Caenorhabditis elegans: one gene and its partners. The protein of the gene in region 2 interacts with the protein of the main gene of each other region in a biochemical or structural test. Each region holds a gene or a part of one and is shown on either strand. Other genes may lie near its edges. The genes, in order: npr-11, flp-18, npr-6 and npr-4.

Region 1 (6,213 bases), 1.8 Mb from region 2:
ATACTCAAACGTAGCGTTTGCATTTTTTAGTGTACACAGTATACACGTGGCGTCAGGCTGTCTCATCACAGGTTGATCTACAAAAAATGCGGGAATATTTTTGCAAAAATTGTGACGTCAGCACACTTTTAACCATGCAAAATCAATTGAGATGTCTGCGTCTCAACTCCCGCATTTTTTGAAGATCAAACCGAAATGAGATATTCTGACTCCACGTGAGTATATACTTTTGTCCCAAAAGATTTTTGTTATCATTCTTACATCAAATCCCCCCTCCCTTAAAAAAAACAAGCTTTTTTGACCAGTTTCCGATGAGTAGTTCATTAAAATTCACTTTCCTGTCTCGAAACGAAGAACCAAAAACTTCCATATCCATGACGCCATTTGTTTTGAAAAGCTGCCGAACAATATGGTTGTTCAACTCAAAAATACCCTAAATTTTCCGCATGACTGCGCATTTCAGTCAGTCCCCTCCCTAATCTTCGGTCACTTCTCTCAAATTTGACCAATCATCTCTCTTATGACAAGCTTCATTTACAAATCTTCATATGTGAAACATAATAGGCTGAATCAGCAACATACTGACGGAAACGAAAAAAAAAGTAAAAAAAAAGAACATCAAAATCAAATAAATTAGGTTTTAGAAGCGTTTTGAAACAATGACGGAATGATTTATTGTTACCCTACATGTTTTCTTAAACAATCACAGCTGCTCATCTTGCTCCATCGCACTCAGAATCATACTTTCATTCATTCTCTGGAAGGTTGCTGGCTCTGCAGTAGTTACCGTCTTACAGCCTCCACGGCTTCTGAATTCAGTGCGCATACTTTTCTTGAGCGACTCTTGCTCTCCAAATATCACGACTCGAAGGGATCTGGAATATTGCGATATTTTTTTGAATTTTCAGATTTTTCTACAGTACAACCATCTATAATTTTCTTCAAATTTACTCATTATTCCGTGAGCCTAATCTCCGCAATTTTTGTAGATCAATGGTATTACGGGAACACAAAATTGTGAGAATGCGTACTGCACAACATATTTGACGCGCAAAATATCTCGCAGCGAAAACTACAGTAATTATTTAAATGGCTACTGTAGGTCGATTTAGGAGCTTGATTCTCAAATTGAATTAAAATCATTTGTTTATCAATATAATATATAAATTAAGGAGGAAAATATAACAAAAACGAAAAAAAATGGAATATTGATGTCCCTATTCAAAAAGAAAATCACTTCAAAAATTGAGCCCGTAAATCGACACAAGCACTACAGTAGTCATTTAAAGAATTACTGTAGTTTTCGCTACGAGATATTTTGCGCGTCAAATATGTTGTGCAATACGCATTCTCAAAATTTTATGTTCCCATAATAAAGGACCTCTTTATTATGCGTGTCAACTTAGGGCGCTTAATTGGTAGATCGCTTTTATTTTCTGGGTGTATCACGACTTTGATACAAAAGCTGTAAACCAGGCCACACACCGCAACAGTTCTTCTACCAAACTATTACAGTACCTTGGTAGTTCCTATTATATTTATATAACTCTTGAGGAAAGGTTTTCCACAGTGTAATAGCCCCACTGTGTTTAGACCACCTGCCGGCAGGGTCTTAACACGGCAATTTTTTTTCAAAAATTGGAAGGTGAGCCTTTAAAGAGTACTGTAGTTTACAACTCATTGTTTTTATCAACTAATTTTACGAAAAAAAAAATCATCAAATTAATAATTGAAAATTTGAGAAAACCGTATGTCTATGAAAAATTCATGAAATTTTAGCGATAATAAAGTTTGAAAATTACAGTACTCCTTCCTCAAAGGCGCACATACTTTTGTATTTAACAAAAATGTATCGTGACGGGACCTGGTACTGGACGTTTTTGTGCAAAATGACAAAATTGCAAAAATTTTCCACCAACTTTACACATAAGTGTTACCAAAATTAACTTAAAATGTTCACAAACCTCAACCCAACTCTATCGAAAAGATGCATAAATTCGATCCGGAAGTTATGATTGAAAAATGCATAGATCAGCGGATTCAAGCACGCCGAGCACATTGCCAAGCAGTGACAGATGCTGAACGTTGTAACGGAAAAACTGTTGACCAGCTCGAATGTGTTGAACTGAAATTTGTTATGGTTTTAGTGGAACATAAAACGAAAATGCTCCTACGATATGAAAAACGTTGAGTGGCAGCCAGGCGACGGCGAATACAGCTACAACGCATACAAGAAGGAGGTGGGTGCGTCGTTGACGTTCCACGACGGATCTGGAACTTTTTTTAAAATAATTTTATTTCGAAGAACATCTATTTTGTACAATAAATTATGTGAAAAATTTTAAGTTGTTTGATTTTTGAATAAGCTCAAAATTTAGTTCTCCAGGCAAGTAATGATCCGAAAGTTTCAAAAATAACTTGAAATTGGGTGATTGGGTTAATTTCAAAATGTTGTAGATATCAGTTTAGTATAAGTTCATTCACATGATTTTTTTACAAAAAATTAAAGTTTTTTACTAACATTTTTTGAAAATTTTATGACCGCAGATAAAATAACAAATTTTGAGCACATTTTTCTCGAAGTTTCACAGTAGTAAAGGTGGAATAGCCCAAATGGGTAAATTGATAAAAACAACTCCTATGGTGTCAAATATCATAGTAAAACATTTCAAAAAATGCTCTAAAAATTTTTATTGGGCTATTTATTTTTTTTGCACAAATAGAGATTTTCCCAATTTTCAAAAAAAATTACATCAAATTTAGAAAATTGTTTCAATTTTTAAATTGTGGTATTCGGCCCAGGTGGGTCAGATTTTCTCAGAAAAGTTCTGTTAGAACAGTGTTTCAAAAATTTCGAATGCCACTTAAAACGTGGAACTTTACATTTTTCGAAACAAAAACATTTCAAAAATTTCTTACCGTCTCCTCTGACTCGTATTGGTATTTGTTGTCACATTCTGATTTCGGTTTGCAAATCTCAGCTTCATCCGATGTGCTATCCGGGAGTAGGCGAAGACTAGTGAAAACAGGGGAAATGCGTATTGGGTGATAAGAACTGCCAACGTGTAGGTGCCTTTTGATATGATCATCTGGAAAAATTGGAGTTTAGCCGAAATTGTCTTTTTTTATATTTGTTTTTATATTTCCATACATACTGGTTAATATAATACCAGTTAACATGTTTTCAGAAAACTGAAAACTTTAAAAAGTCATTTGAAATTTTATTTGAAAATTTTAAAAAATCGGAACAATTTTTTTAAATTTTTTTTCAACTCTTTTATGTATTTGGAAATTATGACACATTTTCTATTACTCAAAGCAAATTTCCATAGAAAGTATTAAGCAAGTTCCCTTGACTATCGTCACACCATATTAACCTAATTATTACAGTAATACTACAGTACATAGACAGTTTTTATATTTCATTAATAGGAGCTGATACATGAAGCTTATTGTTTAGTTTATAGTTCATTTAGACCACTAAGAACCAACCTTTTCCCATATCTCATTTTGCTCATGGCAAATGTAAAGAGCCAAATCGCACGATGGCTCAACGAAAACCGGTGTCAAATCAGAAGCCTGCAGAAGTGGAACCGCAAGGATTAGGGAAATCACCCAGATCATGATAAAAAAGCAGAACGACAGATTTTGTTGTCGTTCTCGCTTCGTTGGGAAGATAATGAGCACGTATCTGAAAACTTGTTAAATGGCATTTTTAATTAAAAAAAATATATGTACATACCTATCAACAGCAATTGAGGCTATCGAGAATGTGGATAAAAATATGTTAAAGCCTTGCAGCGAACCCGCAATTTTGCATAATGTCCTGCTAAATGGCCAGAACATGTAGAGAACCGTGTATAATGTGGTCGGCGCTGTCACAATACAAACCTGGAATTTTTCAAATTGTTTCCTATCTTCAATAATTCCAGCAAAAAATACTCACAAAAAAGTCCGACAGCGCCAAGTTTAAAATGAAAAAGTTCCTTGTTGTCCGCATTGCTGGGTTGAGTATGACTACGATGATTGTCAAAAAGTTGCCTATTGCTCCAAACAAAATGATCAGCATGTATGCGAATGTGATGAAATATCCGAACTGAAAATTTGAATGTTAAGTTTTGAGTAAGCACTGACCATTTTTAAATTTGCACTGACAAAGTTTTGATTTGCACTGACAAAATTTAAAAAAATTGTCTTTTTGAATACCAACCTCTTTTGGTGAATACTCAGTCCCATTGATAACCTGATCATCTCGAAAAAAGTAGTTGATTTTGTTGAAAATTTCTACATAATTGTCACATGATTCATTCACCGATCCCATTTGTTGAAAGTTCTGAAAATACCGACGAAAATACAAAAATACGGGAGATGAAATTGAAGGCAAGAAAAAAAATATGTGAAACGCCAATTTTCTCACACAGAAGGGAAATAAATAAACGAATATTCCAAGAAATTGAGCATCCAGACTAGTGGTTAGTCGGTCGGTTATAAGAGAAAAATATCAAAAAATGAGAGGTAATTACTGCGAATTATAGAGAAGAAATGAAAATTGAAAAGTGAAAACTATCATCTCATTTAACTCATTCTCCCGCCCCGGTGTCTACTCCCATATCCCTTTTAAATTGAAACTTTATAAAAACAATAACGTTGAAAGACAGGGGTTTGGGAGCAATATGTGCACCGAATTTCAGGAATAACTTAGTTTTTTTTTTTAATAATATTTTTTCAATTTTACCAGCCACAATCATCTATGTTATGCTGCCTAAAAATACACAACTTGCACTGACAAGATGTTTAGTTGCACTGACCAAAACTTCGAATGACTTTATCCAATGGCTATCATATATGCCAATTGCACTGACAAAATTTTCAGTTGCACTGACCACTATATCATTTGCACTGACAAAAATTTTGATTGACTTTATCAGTTGCACTGACCACATCTCCATTGCAATGACCATAATTTTTGGTTTACTGTTAAGAATTGCACCAAATTCGAAAGAATCTCGCAAACAGTCAAAAGCTATAGGAAATAGCAAAAATTAATAAATGTGTGGGAGCAGTTCATGAAAAATAATTTTGAAAAAACAAAAGAAGCGGTGAATGAGCTCACCAGAGACAACCAAATACGATTAAACCAAACTAGTAGCATCACCACAAGAATAAAAAATTTATATGACTTTGTTTTGACGGAACTCGTCTTTTCAACCGCCATTTATTTCGGCCACCCAGGTCGGTTTTTTTAAACATTTCTCTCTGCCATCTTGTGGTGGATATCCATAAACATCGGAAATGCAGGAACGGGCCGGATATGAAATGGAGAAGTGAAACACAACAACAACATCAACAAAAGAAAACTGGTATCAGAAAACAGAACTTTGTGTGTTTTTAAAGGTGGAGTTCCAAAATCTGAGACCTTGAGACTTTCCATTTTTCAGACCAAAAATTTTCGAAAATTTTTTTTTCCGAAAAACAATTGTAGAAATGAGGGGTTTTTTGAGCTAAAATCTCGTTTTTTCACAATTTTGCCAATTAAAAAAGTCCCAACTTGAAGAAATAAGGTTCATTAAATTATCACCCCCTGCGACACATTTTTTCGATTTTTTGATTTTTACAGGGAAACTTTCGAAAAATCGATAAATTAAAATGTTTGTTTTTTGAAAATCTGAAGTAAAAAATTCCGATTTTCTTCAATTTTTTAAAGGGAAAATCGGAAAATCGAAAAATTTTTCCATTTTTTTGAACAATTAAATCGTTAATTTTGTATAAAAGTTTACAGAAAATTAACGATAAAATTATAATTTTTAATCAAAAACCAAACAAGAAAATGTTTGATTTTTTGATTTTAGTTAAAAAAAAATCAATCTAATCTACTGCAAAATCGGATTTTTCCAAAACTTTGATCCAACTTAACTTTGTTTTGAGAAAATTTTAAGCAAAACTAAATAACAATTATTTTATCAAAATTTTGGATTTTATAGTAAATTTTCATAAAGGGTAATAATTAAATGAAACTTACTTATTCAAGTTCTGATTTTATTTAATTGAAAAAATTTTAATTTTGGCTAAGATACAACTTTTTTTTCCAAAATTTTACACCACCATTTCATGTTTTTCGAATAAATTTCAAAACCTTTCAGTACAAAATTCGGTAGTTTCATGTCAAATTGAATCTAAAAAAAGCAAATTTTCAGATTTCTGTTATTTTTCCAC
Region 2 (4,213 bases):
AGTAGAAAACTTGTTGACTTTGTTGACTTGCTTACAATTAATTTTAATATTGATGCTCTCTCTGAAATGAAAGAAAAATTGTACAGTACTAGATTCATCAGTGTATTGGGAAAAGCAGTTTGAAAAAATCTTCATGATCCCAGATTCAATTAATCAAATCTGAAACTTGAAAGAGAATTAAGGACGGAAATTACCTGTGCACATGAAGTTGGTTATTTGATAATTCAAAAAACTTTTCTGCGTTTCAAATTTTTTGGAATCATTTTGATACACATGCTTCAAATTTTCAGCAGCTTCATGAATAGACTCATTTCACACTGGGTTCTGTTTAGACTTATCTAATCTGATAACTGACATAACACAAAGCATACTTTTTCATCGTTTGAAAGCTCAATGAATCAATTCCTAAAATGCACAGAGTTGGAGGTAATTATTCTTTTCAACACACGTCAACCATGAACAAATCTGCTTTTCAACATTGTTCAGAAAACAATTGATAGACACACAACTACATTACTCAAAAATTAGACGAACTGTGTTTGACGTAACAGGAAATGATTCATTTAATCGTATGGAGCTCTAGAATTGACAACGTTTAGTATCATTGTTGAAAAGAGACAAAAACTTAATATTAAGTGATTGAAATGAGACGCTCGGAAGAAAAGAAGAAAAACAACGAGATCATCGAATTGTCGCTGGCACATTTTACATTCACATTCATCTGAAACTTGATACATGTCAGACTGGCAAAATCTTATTTAGAAACTTACAATTTACTTCCGTCCGAATCGGAGAACACCTGGCACACTTTTCTTGAGCAAAACCCCTGCGTAATGCTCTTCCAAGTCGGATCGCTTTCCAAATCTGAAAACAAAAACCTTGGTAAGCTGGATGAAGTCTTAAAATGATCGGACCTCAATACACCGGGAACATCGCGTTTTCCGAAACGGAGAACTCCGGGCACTTCACTGCGCTTGTCGAACGAATCAGCCATGTAATCTCTCTTTCCGAATCTCAACACTCCTGGGATCTCCCGTTTGTCCATTGGCACATCACGTTTTCCGAAACGAAGAACGCCTAAAAACTGAGATGTTATTTGATTTAGAATAGATGATGATGCCACCTGGAACACTTTTCTTCTCATCGAAATATGAGCGTTTCCCGAAGCGAAGAACTCCTGAAAGTCAATTTTCAGTATGCAATAAACCAACAAGGAACTACTTACCTGGAACACTTTTCTTCTCGTCAAAATATGCACGTTTACCGAAACGGAGCACTCCCGGCATTTCTTTTTTCTGCACACTGCTTTCTCTTTTTTCCCAAACACCTCCACGTTTTCCAAAGCGCAACACACCTGGCATCGCCCCATCAAAGTCTGAAATTAGACAAAAAATTGATGGTTAGTTGTACGAAGAATTTTGTACCTCTTTTTGAGAATACCCGACCGTCTTGTTTCTCGTTGGTCCGAGTCACTTCGATATCCTCTGCTGGTATGTCTTCTTCGACGATTTCATAGACTGAAAATATAAGTTGTTTCAATGTGCCGTCTTGTATTTAGGGCTGCCATATCGGACGTCCGGCGTCCGACAATTTCCGAGTTGAGCCACTCATTATAAAATTATATGATTATGTATAGTGAGTGGTCAAACTCGGAAGTTATCGGACGCCGTGAAAAACTACCCCTTGGAAAAAAAAGTTTGCGCCCCTATCGGACGCTAAGCGTCCAAATTCCTCCTAATTGCAGTTATGTATGTGTTTCGATCGACCTTACGAGAATTTTCAAAAATTTCAAATTCATGCTTTCAAATCGACACAATTCAATTGTGCACCCCTGTTGAAAAAAGAAACGAAAAAAAACACGTTTCTTGTTGATTGAAATCGTCGAAATACATCACTTTGGCAGAACGACAGCGTCATTTTACTTGGCTTCCCGCGTTGGTCTAGATGGGTACAGAGCACCATCGAACGAAACATGTCCCAACGGGCCCCGACAAGAAAGAATAAAAAACTCAGCATCCAACTCAACACTATCTTTCCACAATATCCATAGGCGCCCCCTTTTTTTCCCGCTACATCTTGTTTTCATCCAAGCGTTTTTCCTTCCAAAAATACATTGGGCCACTCTAGATTATAGAAAGTTTGAAGGTCAGTGGAAACACTTTTCAATAAGACAATAACACCAAGTCTAGAGATTCACGGACCGTGGGAAGCAGCGAAGATTATTCATAGGTCTCACTGGAAAATGAATATCACAGAAGCTTATAAAAACTAATGAAGTTTCAATACGGATGCGATGTTTGAACACCGCGCAAAATTATTTCAGCTAACTACGTCAGGTCCAGAATTTTGAAAAAAAACTAATGTACGCGAAACCAACGTTTCGACAAACTACAAAGTTAAAAATTTTAAAATAAAATTCAAGATTACATTAAGACAAATTATTGCCGTCATTTTATTCAATCTTCCACGCTGATCTGGGGCTATCCAAACTCCCTTCAAACCCAATTAAGAGATTGGATCAGCCAAGACTTTTCTTTGTTTCGTTCATCAAGAACTTACTTGGTTCGGTATATGCGAGCGCCCCACGAAGCAAACAACACAGCGAAATGAGAAGAACGCCCGACCACCGTTGCATGTCTAACCCTGAAATTATTATTTTTAGTTGTTAAAGCAATCGTTATTGTAGTTAAATAATAAACGTCTTGATGCCAATAATATGAAATATGAGAGTATTAAGCTTCTAGCCTCTTTCCTCAAGAACGACATCCCATCAAATGACACTCGCTAAAAAGTAAACGAACATTTTTAGGAAGATACGAAGAAGGAAGAAGTCACACCAGATCCTGGATTCCCCGCCTTTTCTCGTTACCGTAGAAGGTGAAGCAATGAAAAGTGACACGCTGACATCTTGACGTGGCTCATGGGTCGAGGGGAAGAAGCTGAGGAACTCGGGGTGTGTGGTTTTGCGGAAACGCGTGTACAAGGTATTCGAAACACCCCCCCCCCTTATTTGAAAATAGTGTCATCGGTGAGTGGCACATTTATCTAATGAGATTTCACTCATGTCACTTCCTAGGCGGGAAATTCAAAAGTTCGAAAACAAATCGAAATTTTGAATTACTAAATGTGAGAGAATGATGGCGTATTTTTTTGTTTAATATTTGATCTAAGAAGAAGTAACTTGAATAGACATAACTTTCGATCTTTGGAAGGAATTTTAAGGCTTGGGAGGAAGATTTTTCATTCAAAAAAAAACATAATTGATCAGCCCGTTCAGACACAAAAAAGACTATTTTGAAAATTGAGAAACACGGTAAGCTGAAAATTTAAAAACTTCTTTGGTTTCAGTCCTATTTATATGAGGGGTGGGATCTATTCGAACGGACCATTGAGTTGAGGCTCCGCCCCTCCTAAGAAACAACGACGTCATTTCTTTTTTCATGGTGGAAAAAAGCACTGATGTAGAGAATAGTTGAAGAAAGTTAGAGTTGTAGAGAAATAAGAAAAAAAGACACAATACAATTGAATAAATCGGGTGGGACCAGTAAGAACTTCAATTGTGCGGAGTTTATCTGCACAGGTTGTGGCGCAGCTAACGAAAAGAAGATTATCTTTTTTTTCCTAAATTCTCAGCGCACGTAACACACACGTCGTGTCATCGTCGAATCTCATTTCGGGGGTAGATTTCAAATAGATTGGCTGGTTTCCACTCAATTTAAAGAGGGTCAAGCCCACGCGTTGATTGAGGGAAGACTACAACATCTACTTGAGCTGAGTCAAATAACACGAACCCGCCAAAACACAACTACAACACACGCTACCTTTGAAGATGATCTATGAATATTCATAGAGTAAGCTTGGAAAAAAATCAGTGCAAAAATCTATTCCGCCCAGGTCATTATATTGTAATTCAATTGATCTACTAACACTTATTGGCAAAATTAGCTTTGGGCTTGTATCTGATCATTTTACAAAATAGAACATTCGGCTCATAAAAAGTAAGATTAAAGAAAGTTAGAAAATAAAGGTTCCGTCTCAGAAGTGAACTTGAACTGAGAAGTAGTAATAGTGTATATTAAACTGCAAAAGGTGGCATTGAAAATCATAACAATAGGTTCAAGCTTTATTTTCATGTTTTCGTGACCCTATTCCGGCTAAGCTGGGATATTTATAGAGACTGGTTAATATTCAGTAAAAAGTTGTAAGTTTTACT
Region 3 (5,325 bases), 7.3 Mb from region 2:
CATATTTAAATACAAATACAAGTTCACATATATTCAATACGTTTTCAACAAAATTACATACAATCGAAACAATTTCTGATTTTGTTGTTTTTTTCGAACTCTTCCCGAAGATATGAGTGAATAAGTGAAGCTGATCATGGTTTTTGAGGCTTTTTGCTGAAAACATATCATCATCATTTTCGGAGAACACAGAACTCACCAACCAATTTGATTCACTTTAGTTTCGTCGTTCGAATCAAATTTTTATCTGACTAGTAAATATTATGAATTAGAAGAAAAACGTCTGAGTTTTTTGTTCTCGGTCAACTGATTTTTTCTCCAAACCGTGCTCACTTATCTATTTTGATAAATGTGACGTTTCATTAAAATTTTCGTTGTGTCATCAAGTATACTCCTTGAGCTAAAATTTATATTAATTTTCGATTTATTCTGATTTCTGTTTTCAAAAATGTTTTCCTACGCTCATTATCCAATTTCTATCCTTTGCCTTACAATTTTGAGCTGTATTTGGTTGTCTCAGTTTCACCAAAGCTTATCCGCCCTCTCAGAATTGTTTACTTTAGTTCATGTGCAACGTTTCTCCTTTTCCACCTCAAGGAGTGCTTCAGTTTTTCTCGACTTTTTTCTGGTGCCCCTCATCGCCCGGTCGAAATTCAATTTCCGCGGTATTGGAGTCGGATTTCCAGACGAAAAATAGAGAATAGACGGATGAACCCTATACATAGACAGGGCAAGGGCAAAGACGAAACTATCAAAAGGAAATGTTCTAAAAAAGGTCACCTACTATGCGAGTCCTTTTTTTTGCAACAATGAGAGCTTTATCAATCAAGATAATAACATTATCCTTGGTTCGTAGTAGCCTACATCTCATGAATGTTTCACATCCCACCATTTAGAGAGATTAAATCCATTGGCTCCTTACATTATCTTTTTTCTATTTCTTCTCCACGTCCATATTTCATTTCTGATTTTCAATTGAAACCAAATAATTTGAATCTAGCTTGTTGAACTTACGTAAGCGTCTTCTTCTTCGAATTTCGACCCTTTCTTTCTGTTTTTTATAGGAAATTCAAAATTCGCTTCATCGAAGATGAATTCATAACATAAATCAAAGGACTCTCGATTCGCTTTGTGCGTTTGCGTACCAGTTTTTAGGCAAATTTTAAATAAATGAGTATGTAGTTTGTTTAACGTAAAGGGAAAAAAGAAGGGTCTCAGCTTATTTCGAAAAAGAGAAAATTTCTCACATGTATATGGATTCTTTCCCTTTTAAAAGTTCACGACGCCTCCTCTTTTCTCACTTTGAGATTCACTTTTCGCGTCTAGAATTGCAAGTCTCACACAGAAAGTGAGAAAATAAGAAAATGAGGGAAGTGTTTGGCTCATGTTCTCTTTTTTATTTGATTGACAAGAAGAATTGAAAACAAACAATTTTTAAAAAATCATTGAAAACTTTGGGTTCTATTGAATCTGTTTAATAGTGTATTATTAATATTGTAATTTTTATTGATTTTTTTTTTCAAAAATCATGACATCAGTTTTGTATTATATGAACTATGTAGATTTCTAGTTTAGATGTGGTCGCTCTTCTAGTGTCAATTGCAAAGATGCGAATATCATTAAATTTTCATAACTGACTTAACATATTCTCAATTTTATATTCTTTTGGGAGCTTTAAATTTGAAAATACTTCTAACATCTTTTGCTCTATGAAACGTGTCAAATCTCGTTTTTTCTCCTTAAAATCAAGTTCATTTCCGACTCTTCCACCGCGCCCACGTCAGAATATTATGAACTTAAAGAGGTCTAAACGAGACACATCGCAACCAAACATATCCAGTTCACAATTCTTAAAATGTACTCGATTTATCTCCCGATTCTAATATTTTCAGCTCTTCGTTTATCCCAATTTCTGATAATATTTGATTCAGATGTCGAATGATCTCGTGCCTTCAGTGTCTTCTATACTAAATGAAACAACACCTTCATATCAAAGTACATGTAAAATCAAAAACGTAAGTTTTCGTGTCCAAAATTGTTCGTGAACGTTTGAAAAAAAATCAAAAATGTTCATTGAAACTATTTGATTATGAATTATTTTAACTGAAGCCGAGTAATTTTTATTTTAAAAAAACACGTTTCAGAACCCCATGGAAATGGAATATTTCCGCCCATTCTTTATTTCTATGTATTGTGCTGTTTTTTTGGTTGCTAGTTCCGGTAATTTTTTGGTAAGTAATATCATTTTCGATTTCTCCAGTTTTCCAACAACTGTGTTTAAGGTGGTGTACGTTGTGATGACGAACAAGCGAATGCAGACGATCACCAACATTTTTATTACAAATCTCGCAGTTTCTGATATAATGGTTAACTTTACGTGGGTTTTTTTTGAAATCGGAAGTGATATATCCGGTTCTTATATTCAGATCGTTGTGGCTTACACCAACATACACCTCAATAGGACATTGGATATTCGGAGGTGGATTGTGTCATGGTTTACCCCTGTTCCAAGGTATTGGTTTACATATAGACGGGAAGTTAAGCAGTGATCAAGCATCTAACTATACAGGTACAAGTATCTTCATCAGTACGTGGACACTTACGGCTATAGCCATAGATCGATACATAGTGATCGTGCACAACTCATCAAATATCAATATAAATGATAGAATGTCCATGAGAGTAAGTTGAGCAGGAACAATGTATCAATAAAAAACCTAACTCCAAAAAACCAAAACTCTCATTTCTTAGTCTATAGAAAGGTGTTTTTGAAGTACAGTTAACAAAGTAACCTCCATGAAAATAATAGTTTTTCCTGTTTTCGGTGTAGAACAACTTTGTAATTGGAAAAAATTCTAATTTTTAAAATTTTTTTGAAACTTTCGTACATACCAAATTCAGTCTTGCCTTTCGTTCATTGTCCTCATTTGGCTATGCTCATTGCTTCTGGTCACTCCGTATGCCATCAACATGAAGCTCAACTACATTCATGAACCATGTGATTTTCTGATATGTAGTGAGGACTGGAGCAATGCCGAATTTCGATCTATTTTTGGAATTGTGGTGATGATTCTTCAAGTGAGTTGGGGACAATGAAATTATTTGTATAAATTACCGGGGGATTATATATACATATATCTATGCCTATGCACAAATCAATTTTCAGTTCATTTTGCCATTTGTACTCATTGCCATTAGTTACATAAAAATATGGTTGTTCCTAAATAGCCGTCAAAGTATGACCGAGAGAAAATCCGATATCAAGCGCAAAAAGCGTTTACTACGGATGTTGATTGTCATGGTGGTCATCTTCGCAATTTGCTGGTTCCCATTCAACCTCTTGTTAGTTTAGAAGTGAATAATATGTCATATATTTGAAATAAATTCAGAAACTGTCTCCGAGATCTCAAGTTGGATAATTTCATGCGTGGCTACTTCAGTTTTGTTTTCCTTTCCGTGCATTTGATGAGTATGACAGCTACCGCCTGGAATCCAATCCTCTACGCATTCATGAATGAGACCTTCCGGTGGGTTTATGGGATTTGCATTTCGCCGCCGTCTGGTCGAAAACCCGTTTTAAACAATACAGACAACAATTGATAATCATTAGTGACTCAACGATTTATTGGAAAATAAATTGCAGTTAAAAGATTACGAGGGGTTGTTTTCTTCTCGTTCAGGTTGAAAATACAAGTTATAAAATTTGATACGTAAACATGTGCTAGAAAATACAATTGATAAAAAGTCAAGAAGTTTTATCTTAGACTGCATTTGTGTGTTCAGTTCTCATTTATTTTATTAAAAATTTATTTTTTATAAATACTCAATAAAATTTCCTCTCGTGACACTGTTTCTTCTTATAATTAGAAACAGATTAAACTAAAAAAAAAGACACTTTTTGGTAAATTTAGGATTATTTAAAAAATTTGCACAGTTCAAAATTCAATTAAATTCAATTAAATTAAATTCAATAAATTGAATTATTTAATTTTCATTTTCTTGCAATGCTCATTTTCAGTGAGGAGTTCGCAAAAGTTGTTCCCTGCTTGTTTGCGCGTCGTCCTGGAACTGGTCCAATTCGCGTCATCACTGGTAAAACCTGATAAATTTGAAGTTATTTTTGCTTAGCTTTTTTTTTAGAACGCACCGCTATGATAACTAACCCGTTTCGACGTGCAAACCGAAAAAAAAAAGTGGAGGAACAGCCTGTTACGGTGATTTCTGGTGAGTTTTACTTTTATGTTGTTTGATCCTTAGTTATTCTTCGTTAAGAACTTTTACACCCGACATCCAACGAAGAATAGGAAGCCATTCATTCCCTGCATGCACTCGTTGTCAGTGAACTTTTCAACAAACCAGCAATCTTTAGAAACAGATTCAGAGAGTCCACTTCAAACTGCAGTGGAGCCGCAGCGCAGTATCGTGTATCTCGATGAGCCTGAGAACGGATCAAGTTGTCAGACGCTTCTGCTTTAAGCCGCTCAATACAAAACCGGAAAGTCAGAACAAAAGTCGCTTTTAGTCATGTCACTTGCCAGTACATTTATCCGCTTTCCACTTGCCTTCATATGTAATTTTCATAAAAACACTTATTCAACATTTTATTTTTTTGGTCATATTGTTTTTCTTTCCTAAGATTTTTTCAGCTAAATCTCTGATCAAACCTGTCCTGATCTAAACTATGTGGTTATACTTAACTTATGCACTGCTGTATTTGCACAAATCTTGCTTGATGCTGATTTATCTTTTGTTTCTTCTTCTTGTCACATTTTGATAAAATATTTGTAAATGAAATTTCATATTGGTTACAAAAAATTGGTTCAACTGGTGTGGTTGATAAGATCAGATATGGTTCAAGTAAGAAGGGTATAACAGAATCATGACGAAATTTCAGAATGACATATTTAAAAACATGCTGGAACGGGAAATTGGTAGATGTGGATAAGTAAAATAAATCGAATTGGAAAATTGGTGAAATGTCTTTTCCTGGTTATGGTCATTTAAATTGAATTTGAATTGACTTGATAATAATATTATAAATATGGGAAATTAGGAATTATTTTGTTTTTTTTTTCAGAGGAAAATTGTAATAAAATCTAAAAAGTTTGGGTAAATTTTTAATATCTTTCGATAACAGCTTCACTGCGGTATTCCGAATATGTCTTCGGACGGGCGGCATAGATGGTTTCATCAACATGATCACCATTCATATAGGTTTTGTCAAAATTTTTCTCAATTGCCGGCGCATCCTGAATGAAAATTTGTTTCACATTGCATTTCAAAAATGGGAGTGAGAACGCTACCTGTGGATTGTATTGAGAGAGA
Region 4 (4,929 bases), 9.5 Mb from region 2:
TCACGTTTTTTGCGCGTGAATACTCAAATTAAACCATCATTCATAATTGATACAAGCATTCAAGTTGAGCAGAATGCGCAACATGTTTTTGTGATCAATTGGGGAGAACCTTTACAAAATAATTAAACATTCTTTCTAGGGAGAAATGTGTATTATGAACGTTTTAAACAATTTTGAAAATTGAAACTAATACGTAGAATGTGTAATATTCAAAAAGAACCGAAAATTGAAAATTTCTCAAAACATTGCGAGTTACTATAAATTTGAAAAATTGCCCAGTTTCAACTCTTCAAGAATCAAAAAAAACTTACAAGCGTTTTCCAAGGTTCACATTCATTTTTGAGAATACAAAGAATGATGAGAAAGCAAATAAGAAATTTCTCAAATCTCAAAAGACAAAAAACGATGTTAGTTAGCATTTTCTTACTCAACCCTCCCAAATAGTAACATAAAAATAAGCTCAATTGATCGGACAAATGGCATTTGTGACGCAATCTGCTGAACATGCAAATAACTTCCGAAAATATTATACTAAGCCTATCGCAGCGCAACATGAACTTGGCCAAGGAATCGAAAATTAAAATTTGAATGTGAAAGGCTTTTTCCGTTAAATGCATTTCCCAACGCTTCTCAGATAAATATCTTCTTTAAGCACAAAATAGAATGAAGTAAACGAATTTCCACTTTACTCCTCCGTCCAAGTCTCATCTAGATATATCGGGCCATTTACTATTTCTTCCAAAATATTCGCAAAAGCTCGAATCTATTGCACATCTTGTTCCGGACAAGCCAGACTGCGTCAAACATGCATATAGCAAAACTTCAACCTTTGTTCATTGTTTTCCTCATCGGGACCGGCTAAAAGGTGTACTTCTAGGTTGGTGACTGGTGTTTTCATAAATTACGAGACAATTGGGTGCCTACGTTGTCTCGTGACTTTGGTTTTCTTTTAATGTTCTCATTTTGTATTTGTTCATCGCGGTCAAAAAAACAAGAAGACGGAATGAAATAAATGGTTATTTTCCCAGAACCACTGATTTTTTAAGTGGAAGTAGTTTTCATAATTCATAAAAAATTCATTTAAAAAAAGCAAATGGGCTAGACAATGTGGTGTTTTCAAAACAAAAGCACATCACAATTATATAAACTGAAAATTATTTTTGAGGTCCGTAACAACCAGGAAATATGTATACGGTAATATTGCAAATTATTAAAGATTTTGGAAAAAAAATCATGTTCTTCAGCAGGTTCAAAGGAAACAAAAGAAAAAGCGGAGTGCTGTGACAATCTTAAAGCTGTAGTACGGTAGGTGAAAAATAATTGAAAACCATTACAATAGTGGTGCTAAAATTACCAAATATCAAAATGAAATTTTTGAAATCTTGACTCGGAGTAAAAAAAAATTTCAATAGCTTTTGAAAAGTTTATCATAATATTTTATCATTTTTGCAATATTAAACGGTTTTAATCATGTCCCCACTGGCTGTACAACATATCTTTCCGCCTACTCACAACCAATCGTAAAAACTTTTTTCCTCTTTCCCCTTCCCACATTTCACGTCAGCATTTCTGCAGATACCTTCTAATTTTGTATTTCAGATACATTATAATAACACCATGCTGGCATTTTTAACATTTTGAGCTTTGAGCATCAAAGATCGAACACTATGCGTTTCTCTCCTAATATATAAGATCAATTCTTTAGCGGCTCTATTTTAAAACGTCATTAATGAAATGAGTACGGAGAGAGAGACAGAGAGGAACTATAGGTGGGTGGTATAAAAAACTCGAGAGAGCGGGAGAAAGTTTCAAAGTTTTCCTTCCTTCTAAGGAATTTGATTATCTTAGGTCAGCGAAAAGTTGCAAAGATGAAGTGGTTGGTCCGTAGGAGAATGAAGTGCCAAAAAGTACAACGAGTAAGAGGAATACTGTTTTTGGATCCAAAAAATCTAGATTAAATCGTTCAAGAAAAGTCTTACTATAAGAATCTTGAAAAGTAAAAGTTCAACATTTGAGCTATTGTAAAATCGTTAGCAAAAAGTCAAAAAGAGCAATGTTCACAATTGTAGCGATTTTTTTCAAAATCACAAACGAATTGCCATTGATCTGCGAAAAACACCCAACAAACTCACACCACCCTTTGATCCATATTTTTTAGTTTTACTGGGTACAATTTCTCAATTTTGCCAATGATTTGTTTCTTGTTTTACATGATTAGCTGCAATTCAGTATTGTCTAACGCAATGCACCAAGAATCTTGATTGGCACCGAAAAATTGAGAATGTTGATCTAAAGATCAAAAACCCTTTTTTTTTTGGTAATGGAAAAACACCAATTCAGAAGAAAAAAAAAAGAACTTCACCAATTGAAAGTCGCATGACTCGTTCTCAACTGAGAAACGTGGAAAACGTCATCATTTGTTTTCTAGAAAAGGGGTGGCATTTTAAACTTGTTGAACTAAATTCAATTTTATGCAAAACGGAAGAAGGTTTCGAGATGTGATTTCAATTTAAGAAAGTTTTGACGGCGACGAATAAGAGCTGGTTGGCTCAAAAACACAATCGAGATTTGTCAGAGAATGAGTGATGGTGTGACAAGTGCACCACAATTTTGGAGTTTTCACTCGAAATTAGTGTTGTTTTTTTTACCATAGCTCGTCAAAATAGGCAATAATCTAATATTCACAAGTGTCTGAATTTGGGCTTAGAACTTTAACACTTGAGTTGTGGGAGGGTTTCTCTTTCAACTTTCCCAGAAACTAATAGACACCTCATTTGAAATGCGGAGGGGGACCCATTTTCCATTTTCAGGAACTTACCTTTCTCCAAACTTTCTTGCTCGGGTTATATTCCCGATTGTTATTGTGCCAATTTCCAGTAACATTGTTCTGTATATGTGTCTTCACCTAACAACTTTTCAGTTGCAATTCTCCGTAAACTTTGTGTTGATATCTGAAAATCAAACGATTGGTTATATAGTTTACAGTGACCGAGAGGCTTACCGTGATTAAATGAGAGCCTGGTGCCAAGGCAAGCTGGGCTGAAACAAATTGTATTTAGATAAATTCAAAGAAAGAATGGACAAGAAGAAATTGTGAGAAAAGATTAATATTATCCTCAACATCTGGCACCAAAAGCGTTTGTTTTCAGAAACGTTTGTACATTCTGCACTAATGCAATAAACTAATCGAGTTGGAATGAGAAAAATGGAGCAAGACAGGCGGAAAAGTTAATTTTCAGATTCTTAGAAAAAAACAAACAAAATTTTATGGCGGAGGATTACAATGACAAAGGATTTTTGCCTTTGTAAGTCTTTTCACTTTTGAAGAAACTAGTCTAGACTAGAACATGTGAAAACACCTTGAACTTTTTTTCAAGTTGTTTTAACTTTGGTGAAAAGTCAAATACTGGAAAATATTTTTTAATTGAATAAAATTATCTTTAATTTGTTTAAGGAGAATTTCAAAACCAACTAGAACAGGTAAGAAAACTTCAATTTTGCATTACTTGAAGATGGGTGAACTAGAAAGCTTTACCGCCAAACCTATTTTTTTTCAATGTGTACTACATTAAAGTTCTACAACATTATTTTATTTTTCAAATTAAAACTAAATTATATGTTATCCATAGAATTAGTTGATTTCATATTTCCTTACAATTGGAAAAATAAGTTTCGAGAAATACACAAACAATAATCACTACTTTTGTTTTTCAATCAAATTTGTGGAATTTAACATTTTTATATACTAATCTAAACATGACTCTACAAACAAATTTTTGTTATACTGTGAAACCGAAAATATAAAACAAAAGTGCTTCGATTTTTGGAGTTGAAAGAACAATTCGAACTCCGAACTCACTTCATCAAAAACCAACATGATTTTCTTCTTGTACAAAGATCGCAACAATTAAAACGGAAACAAGTGTAAGGTAAATAATAAAAAAGGACCAACCGACTGCAGATTGGCTTGCCCTTCTTCCGCAGGCGTTGCTCAATTGTCTTAGAGGGTCCATTTGGTTGTAAAAAAAGGGATTGAAGCCAGGAAAAAGAAGAATGGAGGGCGGAGAGCGGAGGAAAAAAGGTTCGGAGAAAAGGATGATAGAGTCATGCGGGGATGACCTCTAAGGATGTGCAAATGTTGCGTTGATTATTCAAGTCTGCGATTGGATGATTGGAGGATTGGGCTGATTTCGTCATTTGCTATCTAAGATTCAGGTGAATGCAATGAAGGTTCGGAGACCAAGTGCGATGCGTAAGAAAATGGTAATGAGCGCTGGGGATATTGAATGAACTTTCCCAGATCTTTGGAATAATTTTTATAAGACAACAGAAACTTGTTTTGTTGGAAAGGCCGTAAATTCTGTTACAATGTTATGTATATCAAATCTTTTTGCTTTTTTGTAAAATTTTTTTGATTTAATATCGTGTTTTTTTTCAGAGACTGCTTTCAAAATACATAACTATTTATCAGCGTTTATAAATTAGTAAGAAACACTGGAATTATCCATAAAAACAACAAAGTCAGTGAAAAGTTTGTGGGCTTGTTGCACAGATATTTATAATTTTGTTTTTTTTTTCGTATGTATTACATTAATAAATAAAAACATGAATCTTCACAAAGTCCGCTTTGTTTCAGCTGTGATTTGATAAAAAGCTCATCGAAAATTTCAAAAATTGTTCGTTTAAAAAACTTTCCAATCGTAACTTGAGATTGATTTTTTTGCAAAAACTGAAAGTGTTCCGGCAAAAAAATTTCGGCTAAGTTACACTGCGGGTTACGTTTGGTAACACAAATTCCCATAAATTCATCAAAATTTGCGTGCTTTGTGCCTCACTTACTTTAGAGTCAACTTACTTGCCTTAGAGGATACATTAATTTTTAATTTTTTTGAAGTTCATGTGTCTTCTGCAAAACGAAAAAAACATTGT

The links.
Region 1: of the proteins of flp-18 (region 2) and npr-11, one has a biochemical effect on the other in vitro, tested with the Caenorhabditis elegans proteins (one study listed by BioGRID).
Region 3: of the proteins of flp-18 (region 2) and npr-6, one has a biochemical effect on the other in vitro, tested with the Caenorhabditis elegans proteins (one study listed by BioGRID).
Region 4: of the proteins of flp-18 (region 2) and npr-4, one has a biochemical effect on the other in vitro, tested with the Caenorhabditis elegans proteins (3 studies listed by BioGRID, with this or other methods).

Annotation. Positions count from the first base shown.
Region 1 is NC_003284.9:1,251,295-1,257,507, forward strand, and holds npr-11 (Putative neuropeptide Y receptor 11), read right to left. Parts: upstream 4,354-6,213; 5' UTR 4,322-4,353; coding exon 4,211-4,321; intron 4,097-4,210; coding exon 3,947-4,096; intron 3,892-3,946; coding exon 3,743-3,891; intron 3,692-3,742; coding exon 3,493-3,691; intron 3,090-3,492; coding exon 2,920-3,089; intron 2,272-2,919; coding exon 2,175-2,271; intron 2,126-2,174; coding exon 1,965-2,125; intron 876-1,964; coding exon 704-875; 3' UTR 521-703; downstream 1-520. UniProt on the Caenorhabditis elegans protein: Could be a receptor for neuropeptide Y and peptide YY.
Region 2 is NC_003284.9:3,011,644-3,015,856, forward strand, and holds flp-18 (SVPGVLRF-amide 3), read right to left. Parts: upstream 2,644-4,213; 5' UTR 2,636-2,643; coding exon 2,560-2,635; intron 1,518-2,559; coding exon 1,425-1,517; intron 1,376-1,424; coding exon 1,226-1,375; intron 1,178-1,225; coding exon 1,124-1,177; intron 1,078-1,123; coding exon 915-1,077; intron 865-914; coding exon 774-864; 3' UTR 771-773; intron 722-770; 3' UTR 547-721; downstream 1-546. UniProt on the Caenorhabditis elegans protein: FMRFamide-like neuropeptides. Ligand to G-protein coupled receptor npr-1. Involved in modulating locomotion quiescence during the sleep-like state called lethargus which occurs during molting between larval and adult stages, acting via npr-1.
Region 3 is NC_003284.9:10,282,302-10,287,626, reverse strand, and holds npr-6 (G-protein coupled receptors family 1 profile domain-containing protein), read left to right. Parts: upstream 1-1,892; 5' UTR 1,893-1,931; coding exon 1,932-2,015; intron 2,016-2,144; coding exon 2,145-2,231; intron 2,232-2,282; coding exon 2,283-2,377; intron 2,378-2,426; coding exon 2,427-2,512; intron 2,513-2,569; coding exon 2,570-2,682; intron 2,683-2,901; coding exon 2,902-3,078; intron 3,079-3,166; coding exon 3,167-3,342; intron 3,343-3,389; coding exon 3,390-3,527; intron 3,528-4,018; coding exon 4,019-4,092; intron 4,093-4,140; coding exon 4,141-4,224; intron 4,225-4,381; coding exon 4,382-4,476; 3' UTR 4,477-4,808; downstream 4,809-5,325. Other genes in the region: slc-9B.1 (Cation/H+ exchanger transmembrane domain-containing protein), read right to left, coding at 5,118-5,249, 5,304-5,325.
Region 4 is NC_003284.9:12,548,639-12,553,567, forward strand, and holds the start of npr-4 (G-protein coupled receptors family 1 profile domain-containing protein), read right to left. Parts: upstream 3,040-4,929; 5' UTR 3,002-3,039; intron 2,952-3,001; 5' UTR 2,884-2,951; coding exon 2,819-2,883; intron 1-2,818.